3 linked regions of the Elephas maximus indicus genome follow. The protein of the gene in region 3 binds, or shares a complex with, the protein of the main gene of each other region. Links are inferred from orthologs where the notes say so. Each region holds a gene or a part of one and is shown on either strand. Other genes may lie near its edges. The genes, in order: PPFIA1, PPFIBP1 and ERC1.

The links.
Region 1: ERC1 (region 3) and PPFIA1 share a complex: the UniProt entries of both Homo sapiens proteins name them as parts of the cortical microtubule stabilization complex. The link is inferred for Elephas maximus indicus from reciprocal best matches to the Homo sapiens genes ERC1 and PPFIA1.
Region 2: ERC1 (region 3) and PPFIBP1 share a complex: the UniProt entries of both Homo sapiens proteins name them as parts of the cortical microtubule stabilization complex. The link is inferred for Elephas maximus indicus from reciprocal best matches to the Homo sapiens genes ERC1 and PPFIBP1.

The regions. Positions count from the first base shown.
Region 1 is NC_064825.1:133,170,654-133,178,318, reverse strand, and holds the start of PPFIA1 (liprin-alpha-1), read right to left. Parts: upstream 3,096-7,665; 5' UTR 2,975-3,095; intron 1,362-2,974; coding exon 1,098-1,361; intron 1-1,097. UniProt on the Homo sapiens protein: May regulate the disassembly of focal adhesions. May localize receptor-like tyrosine phosphatases type 2A at specific sites on the plasma membrane, possibly regulating their interaction with the extracellular environment and their association with substrates.
Region 2 is NC_064822.1:86,402,595-86,410,510, reverse strand, and holds the start of PPFIBP1 (liprin-beta-1), read right to left. Parts: upstream 3,038-7,916; 5' UTR 3,003-3,037; coding exon 2,939-3,002; intron 386-2,938; coding exon 180-385; intron 1-179. UniProt on the Homo sapiens protein: May regulate the disassembly of focal adhesions. Did not bind receptor-like tyrosine phosphatases type 2A.
Region 3 is NC_064822.1:57,730,367-57,737,849, reverse strand, and holds the start of ERC1 (ELKS/Rab6-interacting/CAST family member 1), read left to right. Parts: upstream 1-4,407; 5' UTR 4,408-4,509; intron 4,510-4,527; exon of another isoform or gene 4,528-4,668; intron 4,669-7,483. UniProt on the Homo sapiens protein: Regulatory subunit of the IKK complex. Probably recruits IkappaBalpha/NFKBIA to the complex. May be involved in the organization of the cytomatrix at the nerve terminals active zone (CAZ) which regulates neurotransmitter release.

The sequences.
Region 1 (7,665 bases), on a different chromosome or scaffold from region 3:
AAATTCCTGTAAAACAGAGTAATTTGGTCGACCCTTTTAAGTTTGTGGGAATGAAATCTGACCTGAACAAACATGGTAATTTATAAGTGGGTTTTTAATAAGAAAACACTCTATCATGCTCTCATCCAACCGAAAGAGAACACACAGAAATCTTATCAAATCGTTGCTGCTACAAAGGAAATCCAAATGTCGGGCTTATCAATCTTTCAAGAGAATCGGCTAAAGCCAAGAAATGCATTAAGGCCAGTAATTATCAATTTACTAATTTATCACTGCAGACCCATCAGGAAGGTTCTGCGTAACTGTATGCTTATCCAGGTCTACCTGAAAGCTCCATAAAGGCACACGCTCTGAATAGGTAACATGGCACCCAGACATCCCATCAACACCTCTGTCACCTAGACATGGCCGCTGCACGCCAACACTCACTGTACACTTTCCTAGTTTTACTACTTTCCCCCTTCACCTATCACTGAATCCTCATTCAACTCCTTAACGAAAGGCTTTGAAACACTGGTCCAAACGTAATATACTTAGAATAACAACTTCAAGGTGACCTTAAGCCTGATCGTTTTCATCTGCCAAGGAAAAGTTCCTAAGGTGTCTATCTCCACTCTTCCAACCCCTAAAACAAATCTGGTTTAGAAAACAGGTGTTCTGGTAAAGGGGGGCTGTAAAAAAATTTTTCTTTCCTCTGAAATCTATCCTATTTGCCTACTGATTTTCTTTAGGAAATTGGAAAGGCATGAAAAAGAATGCATGGGAAATACACTCTGGGCAAGAGGCAGCTGAAGACAATGGAACCGAAGGCCCCACATAGCCTGACTGGTTCACGGTCTTTCTCAGAAATGCTGGAGCACTGTCCCACACCTAGACAATCCCTTCTGCTGCCCCAGGACAGGAATGAGAGTTGTAAGGTATTTTCACGTGACTCTGGAGTACCACAGAGTTTGTTCTCCCTACGAAGTTTTAGCCCCGGGAACTTCATCACCAGAAGCCGCCATTTCATAACTAGTTGTACAAAATGCTCACAGAACCATTAACAGAAAGTGACACCACACGAAAGCCTTTAGTGGAAACCTCGGCAGCATCTGTACCTGTGGAAGTGCAGTGTTGAGCTGTCTCTGCAAGGAGTCTCGCTCGTGCCCAACCTCGTGTAACTTCCCCTGGGTGAGCGCCAGCGTTTCCTGAGTCTCTCTCAGCGTATCGAGAAGACGGTCCCTTTCTTCCAGCATGGAGACCATTAACTGTTCAAAGTGGGAGTCTGCATCAGGCTGGGATGGGGAGCCGGACCCATGGCTCCCGCCTCCTCCTGAGGGGCCTTCTGCTTCACTGATGGTCGGCATCACCTCGCACATCATCTGGAAATGACAGACACAGACTGGAGTTGGTATGAGCAAAACAAAGGTCCCCACAGGTCTGCAACTTTATAGGTATCTACAGCTTGGAACCAACCTGACGGCAACGGGTTTGGTCGGGTTTCATGGCTAATACACAGGAGCCTGGGTGCAGCAAGTGGTTCGAGATTGGCTGCTAACCTAAAGGCTGGTGGTGAAAACCCACCCAGCACTCCGTGGGAGAAAGGCCTGGTGATCTCCTTCCGGAATTAGAGACAAGAACGGAGCACTTCTACTGAATACCACACAGGGTCACCGTGACTCAGAACTGGCTGGAGGGCAACAGGTTTTCGTTTTTGTTTTTTAGCTAATAAAAGAAAAAGGCGTCCGCCCCATTCTTCTCAGGTCTGATTGTTATGCTCCACATATAAACTGGAAATGCAAACACATGTGAAACCTTCGGCAGTCACGCCAGATGAAGACATTAACCTCAAAAATAACCCAGTGGAGCAGTAAAGACTGAGGAGGGCTACCCATCTCATAAAGAACAAACCCTAAGGGATTTTGTTTGCAAAGCGGTATTTTTGTTGTTGAAAACAAGAGTGCTTCTGTAACCCTTTTTTTTTTTTTTTTTTTTTCCTATTTCCCGGTGGGGAAGAAAAAGTCAAAACACATGCCACCCAATCTTTTTTTTTTTTTTTTTTTTTTTCAGGGAAAGCACAGAAGGAGCACACAGCCAGTAACACTGACAAGTACAAAATCCACCAGGCATCTGGCAAGAATGTGTACAGTCAGCTCCTGGGAAGGAATGACGGCTCCCTGAATTCTTGGATTTGGAGAGCAGTAAAAGGAACTGGATTCGGGAAGGGCTGGGAGAGGTGTTTTTCAATGGCTGCAACAGTTGGTCAGTCAACCTAACTTTTACGTAAGTTTACAGCGCAAAGAAAAAAAATTCCACAATGGAAACACCGCAGGTCGACACAGCCGGGGTCAGCCAGGAAGGAAGGAAAAGTGAAAGGTGAGACGATGGCAGACTGGGAAATGTCTCAAATACAAGGACGGGACGAGGGGATGGAAGCGGCGCTCACTCCCGAGGGTTCTGGGCTGTGTTCGGCCACCGCCGACCCCCCGAGAGAGGTGCCCAAGACGGCGCCCCCGGCAGTGACCATGACCTCGAGCCCACTCGCCCTCCCTTCCCCTCCTGCACCAGGTGCCACGGGCGCCCCCGACCCCGGGGTGCTGAGAGCCGTCCGCACCGGGGGCCCGGCGTGTGCTGGCGCCCCGGTCAGGGCTGCAGGCGCCACCAGTCCTCGCCCCTCGCGCCCAGCTCGCCACCCCCGGGGCGCTGGGTCCGGGAGGGAGCGGCGCGTCGCCCGGGCGCCCGGTCCCAGGGGCGGAGAGGGCGGCAGAGAGCACCGGGGCGCGCGGCCGCTGGGGTCCCGCCGGGGTCCCCCTCCGCCCCGGCCTCGCCCCCCGCCCCGCCGCGGCCCCCGGAGGGTCCCGGTGCCCGAGGGTGACATCGGACGGCGGCGCAGCCCCTCGGCGGGCGCTGGAGGCCCGCCGCGCCCGAGGCCGGCGCTCGCAGGGGACCCCGGCCCGCGTCGCCCGCCTGCCTCAGTCTCCCCGCGCGCCCTCACCTTGCTCGCCGGGGAGCGGGAGGAGGCTCCGCGGCGGCTCGCGGGCGGCCGCTCGCTCCGGCGCGCTCAGGGCCCACGAAGGACGCCCGCGGCCGGCGCCCGCTCGCCCAGCCGCCCGCCCGACGCCCGCGCCCGGCCCGCCGTCGCCAGTCACGAAGGCCGGCCCGCGGCCGGACTCTGCCGAGCGGAGGAGGAGCGGGCCCGGCCTGCGCGTCACCGGCGTCAACGTGCCCGACGTCGGACGCGTCGCGCGAGCGTCAGCGCCGGCGCGCCGGACGCCCCGCCCCCGGGACGGGCGCCCACTGCGCAAGCGCCGCCTCCTCAGGGCCGGGCGGCCGCGCGGCCCGAGCGCTGATTGGCTGCGCGCCCAAGCCCCGCCCCCAGCCCACCTGGGGAAGGTGGGGAGCGACTGACTGCTCCCGGCGCAGGTCCTGGCCGGGCGGCGTCGAGGTCTCTCCTTAACCGCCGCCGGAACAGCATGGCCTTTATACAGCGTCAGTTGTGCTTCAGGTCTGCGCCAGACGCTTCCCAGCATCCGGTGCACCCTGGGCCCGGGGCAGGAGGCGGGCGCACGCCCACCCGAGGCCGAGGGGCGGGGGAAGCCCACGAGTGTCGCCTCCAGACCCTCCTCAGGTGGCCTCCCGGACCGAGGCCGTGCAGCACAAGGAAGGACGCGGCTTTTACACCAGAGCCGTGGTTAAGCTTTACCTTCGGTACCTAGGCAGGCGAAGATGCGGAATGCAGGCTGTGGAACCGGGCTCGCTGGTTCTCCTCCCAGCGCTGTTAACTTTACCCTCAGCGTGGGCCTGAGTAACACCGAAACCCCTCTGGGAGTCAATGGCCCACCTGTACAATGGGAAAATGGTACAGACCTACCTGCAAGGTGGTTTTGAGGAACAGAACATCCCTAAAGCAACGAGTTGGGAGCCTGGCTGTGGAGGTGTTCCATCGGGGTGGCCACTTCTGTCCTCTCTGCAAACATTCGTCAGCTGCCAATCAAAAGGTTGGCAGTTAAAATCTGACAGCTGCTCCGTGAAAACCCTATGGGGCAGCTTAACTGTGTCCTATAGGGTCACCGTGAGTCAGAATCGACTCCACGGCAATGGGTTTGGGTTTGTTTGTTTGTTTGTTTGTTTGTTTACTGTGTGCCCATTTTGGTCTGCCAGAAGAACAATACAAACCCGTTTTGGAAGACGTACAGCAAGAATGCTAATTAGAAGCAAGGATGGTGAGACTTCCTCTCCCATACTCTGGACATACTGTCAGGAGAGACCAGTTCCTGGAGAAGAACATGATTTTTGGTAGAGGGTCAGCAAAAGAGAGGAAGACGCTCAGCGAGATGGATTGACACAGTGGCTGCAACAATGGGCTCAAGCATAACAACGATTGTGAGGATGGCACAGGACCAGGCAGTGTTTCCTTCGGTTGTGCATAGGGTCACTATGAGTTGAAACCGACTCGACAGCACCTAAAAACAACTGTGTGCCCAGTCCTCTTCCAGGTGTTCCAGACACAGAGATTAATAAATACCCTTTAATAAACTAAAGCAGATGCTTACCTCCTACCCACCCACCCACCTCAGAGTCTGACTCCTGGAGCATAAACTCTTCACAAACCAAATCGTCAGAATGTCACTGTGTGAAGGTGAGGCAGCCAGGAGCCCCTGGACCAATCAGGTCTAAAGGCTGCATGGCATGGGGGCAATTCTTCCAAGGCAGGTTACTTGATTTTCCGACGTGAGCTCACCAAGAGCAAGGGCTTCCTGGGATTGACTTGCCTCCCAGGTGCCGGTATCACGCCTTCCTTCCATCCATTTATTCTTTCGTTCAACAAGTACTTATTGAATGACTACACATAGGTGTTCAATTTTCAGCTCTGGCCCTTGGTTCTTTGCTACTTTAAAATTGTAAAGGTGATCACTTAGTTCTGGGAAGTGTTGTCCAGCTACCATTCCCCCCCGACACACCAGCAATTCCGGACCAGTCCCCCGGGTCACCAATCAGGGTCTACAACAAAAGAAAATGTCCAGCCCTCCTTAGGTGTACCTGCTTAGTTCATCCAACCCTTACTTGCACCATAGCTCGTGAAGTGCTTTTCTCCTGAGAAATGCCAAAATTTAGTTCAACAGGGTAGACTTCCACTCATTCCGTCAACGTTTGCCCAAGCACCTGTGAGCCAGGTACTGGCCTAGGTCTGTTGTCCTATAAAGGGTGTGTGACCTGGTGCTGTGGGACCACAGAGGAGTGGAAACCAACTCTCCATCTGGCATCACAGACGACCTGATGTAACATCTGAGCTGGATCTAGAAGGAGGAGGAGTTTTCCAAGCAGAGAAGGGAGAAGCCCATTTGGTGTAGCTCCAGGAAAATGAAAATCCCAAATTTCATTCATTCATTTCATTCCTCCAAATTGCAAAATCAGTAAGGAAAAGCATAAACCTCAACGACCTCACTAAGTAAATCATTGCACTTCCAAATGACAGAATACTTAATGATATTCACAGTTGGAAAACTAAAGTGTGCCTGACCCAAGCCATGGTATTTTCATTCACCTCATGTGCACATGAAAGCTGAACAGTAAGGAAGACCAAAGGAGAATTGATGCCTTTGAATTATGGTGTTGGTGAAGAATATTGAATATACCACGGACTGCCAGAAAAAAAACGAACAAATCTGTCTTGGAGGAAGTACCACCAGAATGCTTATTAGAAGGGAGGGTGGAGAGACTTCGTCTTAGGTACTTTGGACGTGTTATCAGCAGGGATCAGTCCCTAGAGAAGGACATCACGCTTGGTAAGGTAGAGGGTCAGAGAAAAAGAGAAAGACCCTCAATGAGATGGATTGACACAGTGGCGCAACAATGGGCTCAAACATAGCAATGATTGTGAGGATGGCTCAGGACCAGGCAGTGTTTCTTTCTAATTGCTATGAGTCAGAACCGACTCAACGGCACCTAACAACACTACCGCCAAGGCAGACAAAAGGAGGTATGGTGGTTCAGTGATTAAGTGCTCGTCTGCTAACCGAAAGGTCAGCTATTCAAACCCACCAGTCACTCTGCAGGAGAAAGATGTGGCAGTCTGCTTCCATAAAGATTACAGCCTTGGAAACCATATGGGGCAGTTCTACTGTGTCCTATAGTGTCACTATGAATCGGAATCGACTCAAGTGCAGTGGGTGTGGGGCGTTGTTAGATGCCGTTGAGTCAGGTATGGGGTAAGCAGCCTAAAGAGCGGGGTTCCTGTTGAGGTGCAGGAGTGACCCAGCCTCCATCCCGGAGATCAGGGTGTGCCACAGTCTATCTGGAATATGTAAAGGAACGTAATGGATGTCGTTGTGGCAATACAGTTTGGGAAGATGTGAGCTAGAAGAGCCATGTGGGGGACAGCGTGGACCTTGGAGGGTGTAGCCCCCTGTCATGGATTGAGCGGTGTCCCCCCAAAAATATGTGTCAACTTGGTTAGGCCATGATTCCCAGTATTGCGTGGTTGTCCTCCATTTTGTGACTCTAATTTTATGTTGAGAGGATTAGATGGGATTGTAACACCAGCCTTACTCAGGTCACCTCCCTGCTCCAAGGTAAAGGGAGTTTCCCTGGGGTGTGGCCTGTACCACCAGAGATACAAGGAGGGGGAAACAAGCAGAGAGCGGGGGACCTCATACCACCAAGAAAGCAGCACCAGAAGCAGAGCGCATCCTTCGAACACGGGGTCCCTGTGCCTGAGAAGCTCCTCGACTGTGGGAAGATTGAGGACAAGGACCTTCCTCCAGAGCTGACACCCTGAATTTGGACTTGTAACCTACTAGACTGTTAGAAAGTAAATTTCTCTTTGTTAAAGCCACCTACTCGTGGTATTTCTGTAATGGCAGCACTAGATGACTAAGACACCCCGCCTTTCAGGGGAGGAAACTGAGACCCAGAGATGCAAAGTGATTTGCCCACAGGAACCCAGCTTAGTTTGGGGCCTGAGCCAGGACTGGTCATCATGTTGCAGTGACACAGGAGTGGTCACTTTAAGGCATAATCAAAAAGTAAGCATTCTCTCAGTGGGTCTGCAGTGCAGCCCAGGTAATCCAGTCCCCAGGACGCGCCTTTCCCTGAGGAGGGCTAGGAGCCCAGGGCTTCATCCTCTTGGCCGCATCGGCTTTTACAGCCGACGCTTTTCACGCTTCCCATAAGGTTGGTGGAGCTGTGGTAGTGCAGTGGTTAAGAGCTCAGCTGCTAACCAAAACATCTGGCAGTTGGAGTCCATCAGCCGCTCCTTGGAAACCCTGTGGAGCAGCTCTATTCTGTCCTATAGGGATTCTAACTATGAATCAGAATCAACCTGATGGCAACGGGCACAAGGTCGGTAAACGAGGAGAAAGGGGAAGGAACACAGAGCTAACATTTTATTTATTTGTCTTTCTAAGTCTTAATGCCTCATATGGCCATTCCTGTATTCTTCCCATTTCACAGATGAGTAAACTGAGGTCCAAACATCTGCAAAGCAGGGGAGACCATTGGCCCAAGTGTTCTGGTTTCCATGGCAGCTCCATTTCTCATTGTAAACCAAATAATTGAAATTTGGGTCCATCAATGTGCCTGTCATAGGGGTGGTTAGTACCTGTCATGTCCCTGGGAGCATAGGCAGCTCTGGGTGAACTGAGAATAAGAAAACCACCAAGTGTATCCTACATCCTTTTACAGATG
Region 2 (7,916 bases), about 29 Mb from region 3:
AAAAAAATTTTCCTTAGAGTGAAAAGGGAACTGGGATCACATAAGGGATAAAATTAAAACAAAGCTGTTGTACTATAATTTTTTTTCTCTTGTTCTAATCAGCTACTCTAGCCTCTAAATTTTAGAATAAGTGACAAAAGATTCACAGCATGGGGCTTTTAACATGCAGAGACACCTACCATTTGGCTCTGAAGCCATTCCATCAGCGTTTCTGCTGTTGAATCTGGGATCTGGCACCTCAAGCCTTCTTTCTCATCTGTTTCCATCATCTCCAACAATCCACGCAGGTCCTCCACAAGGTGCAGTGCTCGCAAGCTTCCCATGAATGGGGAGGTGGGAGACTGGCAATCAAAAATCCCATTAGAATATTCCAGGGCCTTAGAACCTAGGTTAAAAATATCACAAGGAAAGCGATGGGGTTTACATTAGATAAAACGCCAGAGCTGAAGATAGTAAACAAGTTTAATTACAATAAGGAACAATCAAACCAAAACAAAGAACGGGAAAAAAACACGGGGGGGGGGGGGTCAGATAATAATTCAATCATGTAAATCCCCCTCCACACCATAGTTATATGGTACAAAAATATACCATATACAGTCCATCCTCATTATTTCATATTTGCCAACTGGCCTACTCACTAAAATTTATTTGTAACCCCAAAATCAATACCCATGGTGCTTTCGTGGTCATTCACAGATACGTCCACTCAGAGAGCGGCAAAAAATTTGAGGAGCTCAGTGTACAACCCTGGTTTGGTATTCACTAATTCAACGTTCGTAGGAATTTACAGAACATAACTACACGAACAATGAGAATCAGCTGTAATCAATAGTCCAATCCCTAACAGAAAGGCCAACTGTTAAGCAGAAAAAAGGTACGGTGGGTTTTGGCAAGAAGTACACTGGCCTCTACCTGAAAACCTCTGACGGAGGGAGGCAGGTCAGTTTGTATGGAGCTACGCATTCCAGAAAACACAAATTTTAGGGACCAGGAAGTCTTTAAACTCTTTTAAAAAAGTTACACATTGAAGTGGAAACTGCATAGCATAATTTCAAAGGTAAGAAAAGAAGGCCAGTTTCCAGTTAATTTACCAGAATTTAATCTCTGAAGAAGTTCAATGAATTACATGTGTATGTGTGTGTGAGCATGTTTGTATAAATACTTTTCCCCATGATTTTGTTTGCAGCCTAAACCTCAAAAAGGCTACTGTTAATGTCAGCTTTTTTTTAACAATAGTTATACGGTTAGTTTTATAGTTAAAACATTTATATAGTTAGCTTTCTATTACTTCCAATGAAACCATTCTACCATACTACTTAAATTCACACTGCTAATCCATAGCCCATTCTGATGTGTCAAATATACAAACTACTTGTTTACTAAAACATACAAGTCCCATTCCAGTGGTTCTTAAGCATTAGCATTACTGACGAGATTACTATAAATATATATGCCCATATCCCTCCACAACAAGGCATCTAGGAAAAAAAAAAAAAAATCTAGGAGAATATATAAATCGTAAATCCTTCAAATAATGCTCCAAAAAATCACTTATCTCAACCAGAGTTTTGCTAAGAATGTAAGGTTATACTCTCTGGCAAAAGCCTAGAATTGATTCTAGTTATATTTTCAGATATCCTAGAAGAGTCAGTTCAATCTCTCTTCCACAAAATAGCCCTTCAATGTTTGAAAACATATATCATGCCCCAAGTAAGAACAGTTTTCTAGATTACATTTAACTAGTTCCTTCAAATGATCTTTACTAATGTGACTGTTTTATTCTTCACCATCATGTTTGCCACCTCTAGACAACTTTTAGCTTGCCAATAACCCTTTGAAAACAATATTCCAAAAACTGAATACAGTATTCAATGTGCAGTCTAATATGCAAAGGAGATTCAACTGAAGTCTGGTCTCTAGGACAGAGTATAACAGATAAGGTCAAACTATGACATGCCACTTTCCTCAGGAGAAGCCACCACTGCAAGGGGGTCACCTACTTGTCACCCCCTCTGCCATGATGAGCAAACAAGGATGTAGTGATCTTTGCTCTGCTGTCACAATAGAAAACTGTTGACGATTCTTAACCAGGGAGTAATCCAACCAAGTCTGTGTTTTAGAAAGTGATGTCTGGTGGTCTAGGAAAGAATGGACTAGAGTGGAAAAGCCAGAATATCCGGACATCGAGTGGGTGGGTGTCTTGGACAAGCCAAGACAATGGTAGCACAGACAGGACAGATTCTAGAAAGGATAAAAGGAAGAGGCAGAATTTTAGGAGGAGGTAGAAATGTTAGAATTCGATTAATTAAATGTGGAGCATGAGGGACAAAAGTATCTGGAACGACTTAAATTTCTTGTTTAAGAAACTATGTGGATGAAGGGTTATGAACAGAAAGGCTTCCAAGGAAAGATAACGACCTTAATGTGTTAAATGATGACAGTGATGTACCTACAGGACATTTCAGGAGAGATATCTGGTTGGCAGTTAGAGATAGCAAAGAATTTTGAAGCTTAGCAAAGAATTGGGAAAGTCAAAGATATGGATGAGAGAGTCACTGAAGGAAAAGTGAATGTTGAGTTCAAGGAAGCAGATCAGAACATGCATAGATACTAGGTAAAGAAGTGTCCTTCCAGGCGCAGCCCACAGACCACTGTACCAGAATCATCAAGATGCAGATTCTTTATCATTGATCAGAAGCTAGGGTGGAATTGGATTTTAATTGGATTTTGGATTTTAAACTAATGCTTGAGGATAATTCTGGTATAGAATGGAAAAGGGCAGAAAAGATGAAACCATAGGGAACCTAAAGGCACTGGAGAGAGTCAAAACACAGAAACAAGAAAGAAGATAGGAAGATAATAAGAGAGTTGTAATGAAAAAGCCAAGAGAGCTGAGTACATGCCATGATTCCAGCTTCTGGAAGACATGGATTACCTGCTATAATACCGTCCATCTGTTCCAACGCTGCAGCCAACATGTCACTTGCATCACTCATCATTTTCTTATATTTCAATGGCAAATTCCAACCTAGATCTGAAAAAATAATGATGTTATCATTACATCCTTTAAATAACACATGCTTGCTATTGCTAGCAGGTTTGCTGATTCAACTTCAAATTATAACTCCACTTAGCAGTCATATCTGAAGACAGGACTTCTAAAGTAGTTAAGCTGAGTTAACTGAATCATTCAACAAGCCGTGGTCAAGCATCTACTGTACTGCAAGACCACAGGCTACATCTGTATCAGTTAAAGTTTCAGTCCTTGTACTCAAGGTATTTAAAACTCAATAGAATGCTTTTCACGCTATATTCTGTAGAGCTCTAGGACTCTCTGAAGTGCTTTGGGAATGGCTATGGAATCTTGCTGAGGACCATGACTGCTGAGTAGACAAGACTTCCTTCTCCTTGCACCAGCCCCACTCAATCTCTGCTATCTTAACTTTGCTACCCCTTCCCTTTTATTGGAGCACCAGTGGTGCAATGGTTAAGACCTCGGGTGCTAACCAAAAGGTCGGCAGTTAGAACCTACCAGCTGCTCCTCGTAAACCCTATGGGGCAGTTCTACTCTGTCCTACAGGGTCACTATGAGTTAGAATCGACTCGACAGCGATGGATTTGGTTTTGGTTTTTTCCCTTGTGTTAGGGTTTACCATAAGATCTGTCTAAGAAAACAGCTTCACTCACATATATACTAAACACACACATATACAAACATACTGGTATTTTAGAATGTAACAATAAACCCATTGCCATCAAGTCAATTCCGACTCACAGTGACCCTACAGGACAGAGCAGAACAGAACTGCCCCATTGGGTTTCCAAGAAGCAGTGGTGAGTTCGAACTGCCAGCCTTTTGGTTAGCAGCCAAACTCTTAACCACTTCACCACCAGGGCTCCAATGTAACAATACCTACCATGTATTGAGTGCCTACAATGGTCTCTATACATTCATATAATTTATCCATAATCTTTAATAGTGACAACTCTATAAAATGGATATATTTATCTCCATTTTATAGATAAAGACCAAAGACATTTGTTGAGTTTTGCATAAACACACAGCAAGTAAATATAACAAAGCTCATTTTAACCTAGATCTGTCTAATTTCCACTACAATATCGAACTTCTGTTAATCTGATCTCATCTGGGCAAGTGTTCAGAAACAATAAATCTCCGTGTTTTCACAGACTTTGACAGTATAAATGAAGGATCACGGGGCCTATTTCATGTTGAAATTGTGTCAGAATCTATTCATCTTTCTACCTGTTTAAAAATATATTGAGGTCTTAAATGCTAACAAGCGGCCATCTAAGATGCATCAATTGGTCTCAACCCACCTGGATCAAAGGAGAATGAAGAACACCAAGGTCACACAATAACTAAGAGCCCAAGAGACAGAAAGGGCCACATGAACTAGAGACTTACATCATCCTGAGACCAAAAGAACTAGATGGTGCCTGGCTACAACCGATGACTGCCCTGGCAGGGAGCACAACAGAGAACTCCTGAGGGAGCAGGAGATCAGTGGGATGCAGACCCGCAATTCTCACAAAAAGACCATACTTAATGGTCTGACTGAGACTAGAGGAATCCCGGCAGTCATGGTCCCTAAACCTTCTGTTGGCCCAGGACAGGAACCATTCCCGAAGACAACTCAACAGTCATGAAAGGGACTGGACAATGGGTAGGAGAGAGATGCTGATGAAGAGTGAGCTAATGATATCAGGTGGACACTTGAGACTGTGTTGGCATCTCCTGTCGGGGGGGGAGGGGGATGGGAGGATAGAGAGAGTTGGAAGCTGGCAAAATTGTCACGAAAGGAGAGACTGGAAGGGCTGACTCATTAGGCGGAGAGCAAGTGGGAGAACGGAGTAAGGTGTATATAAACTTATATGTGACAGTCTGACTTGATTTGTAAATGTTCACTTGAAGCTCAATAAAAGTTAATTAAAAAAACAATAAAAAAATAAATTATTAAAAACAGCATTAAAAAATATATTGAAATCACTCTTGCAAAAAATTTGGTCATTCACAAGGAAAAGTTAAGATTATGTGACTTTCAACATTAATGAATACATTTCAAGTAGCAGACTAAGCATCCATGTATATTCTCCCAACAGGCCTGAATAAGATGACTCCTCTTTGCAGACACCGTGGTATAGCAATGACCTGGTAAAGAAAAAGTATGCTGTTTAACAGAAACCTTTGTCCTGTTTCTAAGCAGCCCGATCTCACCTACCACTTTATGTTCATAAATATACATACAGTTCGAGTAAACAGCATCTCACTCAGTTCTCTACTATGCATTCAATCTAGTAAAATGCCATATAATCACTGTGAAATCTTACTTTGATTTTACAGTAGTTTCATCTAAGAGTTTTCTAGAAATTTACTCACTTCAAAAGGTGTAAATTATCACCACCATTTTATGTGGGAAAACTACAGTATAAAAATGCTCAAGGCAGTTGTATAAAGTCACTCAGAAACCACTGGGTGGGGGAAAATGAGGGTGGGGGTTTAACCCAGATAGTTTTCAAAACCTTACTTGCACGTTCAGCTAGTGCACAGTCCAAAGGGAGAGGGTACAAAAGCAACAACTGCCTTCGTGCTGGAAAACTCAGAATGTGATAATGGAGAACACAAAGGATCAAGCCGAAGAATGCAAGCTACCTGAATTTCATATAATTAAGTGGCTTTTACTCCCTTTCATTTTAAAAGTAGCACTTCAAAGAGCTCTAGATATTCTGATATACACATATTAAAAACAAATGGACACATGCCAGGCTTAGCTATAAACATGGCGGATACCAATAAAACAGAGTAATACCCGTGTTAGAAAAACACTCTCACCACCTCACAAAATCAGAAAAATATGTGTCTTTGTTAGCAGCTGTATTTTGCATAGAGTACAAGCATTTTTTACAAGTATGATAGGTAGTTATCTATTTCTTCTCTGTTCTTTCAACGAGACTTTCAAATGCTGTGATATAGAGGCACGGGACAACCTAAATTGCACTTTTCAAACTGATGAAGAACCAGTTTTTTTTTTTTTTTCCCTAATTCATTAAAAACCAATACTTCTTTTAATATATAAAAATATTGTGACAATATTAAATTGCTATAAAAGTTTATAAAAACTCTCAATCGCTATACTTATTATGTAGTAGACTAGGATCGGCTGAGTGCAACTTGGAGTACCACAAAGCTAGACCACCTATGGAAACCCTGGTGGAGTTGTGGTTAAGTGCTACGGCTGCTAACCAAAGGGTCAGTAGTTCAAATCCGCCAGGCGCTCCTTGGAAACTCTATGGGGAAGTTCTACTCTATCCTGTAAGGTTGCTATGAGTCAGAATTGATTTGATGGCAATGGGCTTATGATAAACATGTTCAAGGCCTTAAAAGGTAAAGATGACGATAACGAGTGAACAGTTTGAGAATCTTAGAAGCGAAAAGAAAACTATTTAAAAAAAAACAAATATAAATTATTCAAATTGGGTGGAAATGATACCACGTGGAAGCTTAAATCTACATAAAGGAATGAAAAGTACATAGTAAACACAGAAAATATAAATATGTTTATAAAATTTTTTTAAAATCATTTTCCTTTTCTTTTTTACTTTAAAATACAATTGACAATTTAAAGAGGAAAATACACTGTAAGGCTGTTAGTATATGGAGTAGTAAAATATATGGCAAAAATAATGCAAAGGATAGAAGGGGGTTAAGTGGAAGTATAGTATTGTTGAATGCTTACATTATACATGAAGATGTTTAATACTAGTTCATGATAGATGGATAATAAGTTAAGAATATATAATGCAATCCACTGAAACTATAAAACAAAGATATACAGGTATGTGCTGCATAACGTCCATCCGGGCAATGTCCAACCACACAAACATCCAAGGTCCCATAAGGTTATAACAGAGCTCAGAGATTCTGATCAGAGAACAGGACATAGCAGAGGTACTTTAGTAAGTACTGTAGATCCTAGATGTCCCTCACTAGCTCTCTGGATCCTGTGTCAACCCCGGCCCTGGGGCGGCAGGAGGGAGGGGTCCCAATGCCCATCCACACATGCCTGTCCCACTGTGCTCACCTCTGGCAGGGACCATGCAGATGCTGCCACAGCACCAAAGGGGATGCCCCGCGAGGCCACTGCCCCACTCGGCCAGGGCGGCCTGTGCATTATGGCCAGGCCTGAGACCATAGCTCCTCCCACGGTAGCAGCCACAGAGCAGTCTGGGCTGCAGCAGTGGTGGGAGGAGGAACAGGAAAGGCAACCTTAATACTCAATCCAAAAGAAGGCAGAAATGAAGGTAATACAGACGTATGAGAGAAACAGAAAACAAACGGCAAGACAGTAGACTTAAACTCAACTATATAAATAATTACATTAAATATACATGGAACATTTTAATAAAAGCCAGAGACTGTCATACCAGCACACATGTACAAAAAACCCTGAGTATATATATTTTTATATATTGTTTATAAGAGGTGTTCTTTAAGTATGAAGAAATATAAATGTAAAAGAATGGAAAATGAGAAGCCATGCACAGAGAAAGCATAAGAAAGCAGGAGTGGTTATATTAACATAACAAAAACTAGACTTCAAATCAAGCATCACTGGAAATAAAGCAGGACATTTGATAATGTTAAAAGAGTCAATTCATCACGAAGGCATAGCAATCACAAATGTTTCTGCACACTTCAAAATACATGAGGCAAAAGCTGACAGAATTAAGGAATAATTAGACAAATTTCATCCATTTATATTTAATATAATTATTAATATGATTGGGGTTAAGTCTATTGTCCTGTTATTTTTTTCTGTTTGTCCCATCTGTCATTTATTTCTGCTTTTTCAATCATCTTTTGAGTTGGTAGACAAACTAGGAAAAAACAA
Region 3 (7,483 bases):
TTTCTTTCTAGTGTAAGACTAGTCCTGTTGAATTGACCCTCTATTTTTCTTGTATTTTCTCTCACAATGTTCGTCACTTTGCATATTTCTTCTCTGTTCTTTGATATTTAATAGACATTTTATCTTCCACACTTCAATTGACTATGTTGTTGCTAGGCACGGTCAAGTCTGTTCCAATTCATTGTGACCCTGTGTACAACAGAACAAAACACTGCCTGGTCCAGTGCCATCCTCACAATCATTGTTATGCTTGAGCCCATCACTGCAGCCACTGTGTAAATCCGTCTTATTGAGGGTCTTCCCCTTTTTTGCTGACCCTCTAATTTACCAAGCATGACATCCTTCTCCAAAGACTGGTCCCTCCTGATAACATGTCCAAAGTACGTGAGAGGAAGACTTGCCATCCTCACTTCCAAGGAGCCTTCCAGCTGTACTTCTTCCAAGTCAGATTTGTTTATTCTTGTGGCAGTCCATTGTATATTCAACATTCTTCACCAACACCATAATTGAAGGGCATCAGTTCTTCTTTGGTCTTCCTTATTCATTTCCCAGCTTTCACATGCATTTGGAAACCAAAAAACCCATTGCTGTCAAGTGGATTCAGACTCATAGCAACCCTGTAGGACAGAGTAGAACTGTCCCATAGGGTTTCCAATGAATGGCTGGTGGATTCGGACTGCCAACCTTTTGGTTAGCAGCTGTGCTCTTGAACAATGCACCACCAGGGTTCCACATACATATGAGGCAATTGAAAATACCATGACTTGGGTCAGGTGCACCTTAGTCCTCAAAGTGACATCTTTGCTTTTTAGCATTTTAAAGAGGTCTTTTGCAGCAGATTTGCCCAATGCAATACATCATTTGATTTCTTGACCGCTGCTTCCATGGGAGTTGATTGTGTATCCAAGCAAAATGAAGTCCTTGACAATTTCAATATTTTCTCTATTTATCATGATGTTGTTTATTGGTCTAGTTGTGAAGATTTCTGTTTTCTTTATATTGAGGTGCAATCCAAACTGAAGGCTATAGTCTTTGATCTTCATCAGTAAGTTCTTCAAGTCCTCTTCACATTTCAGCAAGCAAGGTTATGTCATCTGCATATCATAGTCAGTTGGCTATAGTTTTAGCAATTTCTTATTTGAACACCCACTTTCATTCTTAGATTGTTATTTCATCATAGTACGGTATTTTTGTTTCATAGATGCAATATAAATCTATGACAGTACTAACTAGTTTTTTTTTTTTTTTAAGTTCTCTGAACCTCCTTTTTCCTCTATGGTCACATTTTCTATTTACCCCACCTGTGATCATTAAGGTTGTGTGTCAACTTGGGTGGACCATGATTCTCAGTGGTTTGGCAGTTACGATGTAGTTTGGCAGTTGTATGATGATGTAATCACTTCCATGATGAGATCTGATATAATGTGATCACCTCCATGATGAGATCTGTTGTGAGTAGCCAATCAGTTAAAAGGAAGTTTCCTTGGGGGTGTGGCCTGCATCCAATATAGGTAGACTTTCTGGCAAAGCTCGTGGACTGTTGCTTGCTCTGGATCCTGTAGCTGGCTCCCGTTTGTCCGGCCTCTGGTTCTTGGGACTTGAGCTAGCAGCTTACCTACCATCTTGCCTGCCAGTCTTGGGATTCTTCAGTCTTTGCAGCTTGTGAGCCAGATCCCTGCTGTCTGTCCTGCCAATCTTGGGTTCTACAGCCCCCGCAGCTACAGGAGAAGCCTCCAGCCTGACCCATGGACTTGAACTTTCCAGCCTCTACAACTGCATGAACCATTTCCTTGATATAAATCTCTCTATATATTTATATACTTTACTGGATTTGCTTTATTAGAGAACCTAGCCTAAGACACCACCCCATCTTTTAAATATCTAATGATCCTTAGTTGTCTGTTCATATTTAAGATGAGGCAATTAATGCTGATTAGGAGTCTTGTGAACTTGTGAGGGTCTTGCCAACTCACTCAACTTTACTTTAGGGTGAGTGAAAAGTAAACCACCTATTATGCCAGAGTGAAGAATGCTTTACTCTTAGCATTTACTCATAATAATTGCCCAAGTCCTCCCCCAGAGAGTCTGACAGCTCTTGATTAGTAGCCTTCAGTAAAAGCTTGGGTATTGTATGAGATATGGAGAGTTCTGCTGTTCTGTACCAAAAAAAAAAAAAAAAACAACCAAAGCCACTGCCATTGAGTTGATTCTGATTCACAGTTACCCTATAGGACAGAGTAGAACTGCCCTCTAGGGTTTCCAAGGCTGTAATGTTTATGGAAGCAGATGGCCACAGCTTTCTTCTGCAGAGCAGCTGGTAGGTTCAAACCACTGACCTTCTGGTTAACAGCTGAGCACTCTAACCACCGCACCACCAGGGCTCCTTCTGTTCCATATACAGACTTTTACTTAGATTCTCTGTTTTCAGCCTGCTTCTTACTCTTGCTCTCTTGTCCGTGTCTCTAAATCTCAGTCTCTCTAAAGTACTTCTAGGTCAGGCCTCCTTTGGCTCTAACATTTCTCTCCATGGTTTTCTTTGCTTTGTTTAATCATATTACATTCACTTTCTGTATATGAAATTAAAACTTTTTTTTTCTTTTTCTGATGTCCCCTGAATTGGGTTGAATAATGTTCCCAAAGATTCATGTCCATCCAGAACCTGAGACTCTGATATTACAGTATTCCTGTGTATAACTTAGTGCTTAGCATCTTAACTCTCCAGATCCACGCAGTTTAGGGATATGATGGACCTCAGACATCTAGTTCAAACCCCATTTTACAACTGAGAAAAGCAGGGCCTGAAGTAAAGTGATTTGCCCAAGGTCACACAATTAGACAGTGACAAACCGGAGAGTAAAAAGATATATTAACTCCTGGTTCACTTGCCTTCTTACCTTACACACTGTTGGGGAGTACCCTGATGGGCAGATCAAGATTTTGATGAGAAAGTCTTGACAAAGAGTCAAAGAAGGATAGTTTTTACTGCGTAAATAGTCAGATGTCCAAGCGAACGAAATATATTAGGATGATTATTTGATGATTATTCGGCAGCTATATAACCTTCTTCTCTGGCAGTACATAGGCTAACAATTGGTAGCCATATGTCAGATGTACTGAAGGGGGAGACTGTACAGCAGGGCCAGGAACTGCAATGATCTAAGTGTACGATGACCCTGGGAAGGGACAATTAGAGTGGCTGAATGTGAATACCGAGGAGAGAGGGGAAAATGTTGGAGGGATTATGGGGGTCGGTAAACTGGTTAATTACGAGGTGGGGAGAAAGGAGTGAGAGGGAGGGGTAAAACTCCTCCCCTCTCAAGGGCATTTTAAATTATTTGAACAAGCACTGCAGGGCTGGGAATAAATAGAGTTCACACCACTCTTACTTCCTCGGTTTAGAGATATTTTACCTACCTTCTTAAATTAATGGCTGCAGCTACTCTCTTTGCATGACTCTGATGAAAGAAAACCGACTGCCATTCAGTCTAAGAAAATCGAGTTGCCTGAAATAAGGCACCAGTTGTTTGGTAGACTCTCCTAGCTGTTAAGAGGACCAAATAAAACTGTTAACGTAGCACAGTATTTGGCACATAGCACGGGGGTGAATGTAAGCATTGATTTCCGCCCACACTCTGCTCTCCTCCCCTGGCATAATAACTACAGAAAAACTCACGTACACTGGCGGTGAGTCTTCTGAGATGCCCAAGTTCTTTCCCTAGAGTCGTGTGGACAGCCCGGAGTTTCTCAGCTTGTATTACTACCTTCTGCGGCCACATTTCGGAAAAGCTAAGGGTGGGGGGAAAAAATGCAACCCCTCTGGGACAAAGGGTGCCCACTGCAGAAGTGGGAGCCCAGCTGTGAATCTACTGACAACCCCAAAGCTACTCCCTAAGGCGGTGGCGGTCCCAGGGTTTGTGTAACGGGCCCTGCGAATGAGGGAGAGGGTGGGGCGTCTCTGAGGTTTGGAAAAAAGACAATTCCCGTCTTCGGGCTTCCAGGCCATTCACTTCCTACGGCAAGCAGAAGGAGACAAATGCCGCCTTTCCTCACTCCCACCTACCGCCTTTTCTCAGAGCCTGCTCTCCCTTTACCCTCCCTCGGCCACAGTGTGTGTGTGTGTGTATGAACGTATGCGAGTACGCTCGCGCTCTTTACTCTGCTTCCGCGCGGAGGTACCGCCGAAGACCTGAATCACTCCCTCTTCCTATCCCCTAACCCGCCTTCCCCCGGAAGGCGCCGGGAGGCCTGCGGGCTTCCGAATCGCGCTCCCGGGAGGGTGAGGGAAAGGGAGGTAATCGGGCGGGGAGGAGGTGGGGCAGCTCGTGGCGTCTCCCGACCCGGGGGACTGTGGGCGGGGCTAGGTGTCGCGCAGGGGGCGGGGCGCAGTGACGTCGGCGGGCGCCCGGACGGTGCTGTGGCGGTGGCGGCGGCGGCGGCGGCGGCGGTAGTGGTGGTGGCGGCAGCGGTGTCGGAGCTCGGGCGGCAGCGGCAGCAGCAGCTCAGAGGAGGGTGAGACGACCGAGATAGCGGCAGCTTGGAAGTCGGGCGGGACCTAGAGCTTCCCGCCTGTCCCTGGCGCTGGGGCTTTCGCCGTTTCTTACCCGGCTTCTTTCTTACGGCCCTGGCTAGGGCAGGGCAGAGCGCCCCCGGGGAGGGGCGGAGCCGTAGGTGAGGCTTCAGGACCCCCTCCCCCTTCTCTCTACGGGGGTGTGTGGGGCTGGAGAGCTCCGGGGGGGGGCGGACCCCACCCTAACCCACCCCAGCCCACCGGCGGGCTCCACCCAGCCGAGCTTCGGGATTGGGCGGGAGCTGAGGCGACAGATGTGGAGAACCGGGGGCAAGAGGTGGGAGTCTGGAGATGGGGGCTCGTCTGGAGATGGGGGCTCTGGGCGCTTGGCGAACGGGGGGTTTATGAGGCGTGATGCTGCGGGCGAGGTAGTGGGGAGATGGAGAAATTGGGGAGCCATGAGGTTGGGGCGCAGTCAGGGTGGATCTATGGGTTTAGGTGACCGATGTAAAATGTTGGAGATGAGGATTCCTTTTTTCCTGTTTTTTTTTTTTTTTGTGTGTGTGACACAGTGAGGTAGGAGATGAAGGGTTGTATTTCAAAAGGAAGATGGGCTGTGGATGTTGCTTTTGAGGCAGTTGGAGAAGCTATTGTACTAGGTCTCACATTTCTGTTTGAGGGTTTTGGTTATTTTTCTTATTCTAGGGGGGCGGGTGGGGAGGGTATAGGGCGCTGAGAGAAGAGAATCGCATTGCTTTGGCAAGGTTTTGATAAATTGTGAGCGTGGATAGATCTGAAGTTTTACACCCAAGAAGAGTGTGATCTTGGGTTAGACAACTTTCTTTTGGCAGCAAGCATTAGGGAATAGGTCACGTTACCCTAGTTCCTTAAAGGTGTTGTCTTCCAGTCTTTTTTCTGTGCCTAAAAGATCTTTCTATACCATCTTATTTATAAGTTTTATCCTGGCACTTCTAGAGAAGGCTTGAGAATCAGATGTTACTTTGGAGCATACATTTCTGAGTAGTAGTTGCAGGTGGTTGGGGTTGACTGCATTGGGTGAATAAAATGAACAATTTGAACAGTTCTGTTGTAGCTAATTATATGAAAAATGCCTAAATGCTTCAAAGCACGGCTGTTTTTTACAGTCCTTGTTTTCAGTAGACCTTGATATTTAGACAATTTGGGTTCAATTATTGGAGATTATTTCTCAATTGAGGATGTGTGTATAATCTTATTAAACACTATAAAAGATGAAATGAAATAATCTTTTTTTTAGGTAGGCCTCTTAATTTCTGAGGCATGTTCTTGGAGTTGAGTGCTTTTAAAATATTCTTTACTAAAATGCTAGGGGGCATTGTGCTTGACACTTTACAGGGAGATGTTACTAAGAGTAAACAGTGTTCTTCACATCAGTGTTTCACAACTTACTTAGCACAGTAAATCAGAATCTTCTTTTCTGAATTCCTGCTCCCTATTAGGTTGCAGTGTTCACTGACCTTGCATATCAGTGTCATTTAAGCTATTTCTTGCCTAGAAAACAGGTCCAGTGATAGACATGTATTATGTAATGGATAGAAGTTGTCATGACCCTCAATAACTCATTTATGGAGGAAGAGAAACCGTCATGAAGTGAAATTTAAGCAGTGACTTTCCCAAGGCTTACCCAATTTATTTGGGAAAATAGCCAGAGAAGTCTTTCGTGTGTAACCCCAAAGAGAAATATACAGATGTCAGTTTCAGTAGTTACAGGTCATTGCCTTTCTACATGCCTATTTAACGAGCAATATCTTCTAGCAAATACTTCTGCTTGTGGAGACTTACAGGGTACAGTTAAGAGGGCGTAATAGCTATTAAGTGAGAAAGGGTATGGTCTCATTTATGAGGATAAATCAAATAACTGTATTCAGACAGATTGAATTATAGGTTGGTACAGTGAATACTTTTGCTTTTGGGATAGTTACTTAAAAGGAAAAAATTAAAATTCACATATCTAGTTTTGGCTTTTCAATTTTACTTTGATTTAATTGAGTACACATGGGGTCAAATGTGACCTAAGCTACAAGGTAAAACTGTGCTGTTAAGTGATACTTGCATGACTCATAGTGGGATGTGATTCTTCTGCTTGTAGGAATGAGATCATATGATTTGAAGGAAAGTTTAAGGTAGAAATGACCTATTTCTGTTTAGAATTCCTTATGCCTGAAAAGTGCTACATTTTATTTTTCAAGAAATGTTACTTAAACATTCTTTAAAGAGGTAGAAAATCTAATCGCCAACTTTATTTGGAAAGGAAAGAGACCCTGGATAAGCAAAGCACTGCTGAAGAAGAACAAAGTAGGAGGCCTCACGCTTCCCGATCTCAGAACCTGCTATGTAGCCACAGTAGTCAAAACAGCCTCGTACTGTACAACGACAGACACATAGACGAGTGGAATAGAATTGAGAACTAAGAAGTAAATCCATCTACCTGATCTTCAGCAAAGGGCAGAAATCCATTAAATGGAGAAGAGTCCCTTTAACAGATGGTGCTGGCAAAACTGGATATCCATTTGCAGAAAAATGAAACAGGATCCACACCTCACACCATATACAAAAACTAACTCAAGATGGATCAAAGACCTAAATGTAAGACCTAAAACTATAAAGATCTTGAAAGAAAAAATAGGGACAAACCTAGGGGCCCTTAATTTATGGCACAAATAGACTATCAAACATAACTAAAAGTGCACAAACAGGAGAAGGTAAACTAGATGACTGGGATCTCCTAAAAATTAAATGCTTACGTACATCAAAAGACCTCTCCAAAAGAGTAAAAAGAGAACCTACAGATTGGCAACATTTTTTTGGCAGTGATATATCTGACAAGGGACTAATCTCAAAAATGTATAGAAAACTTCAATACCTCAACAGCAAAAAGGCAAACAATCCAATTAAAAAATTGGCAAAGGTCAAGAACACATACTTCACCAAAGAAGA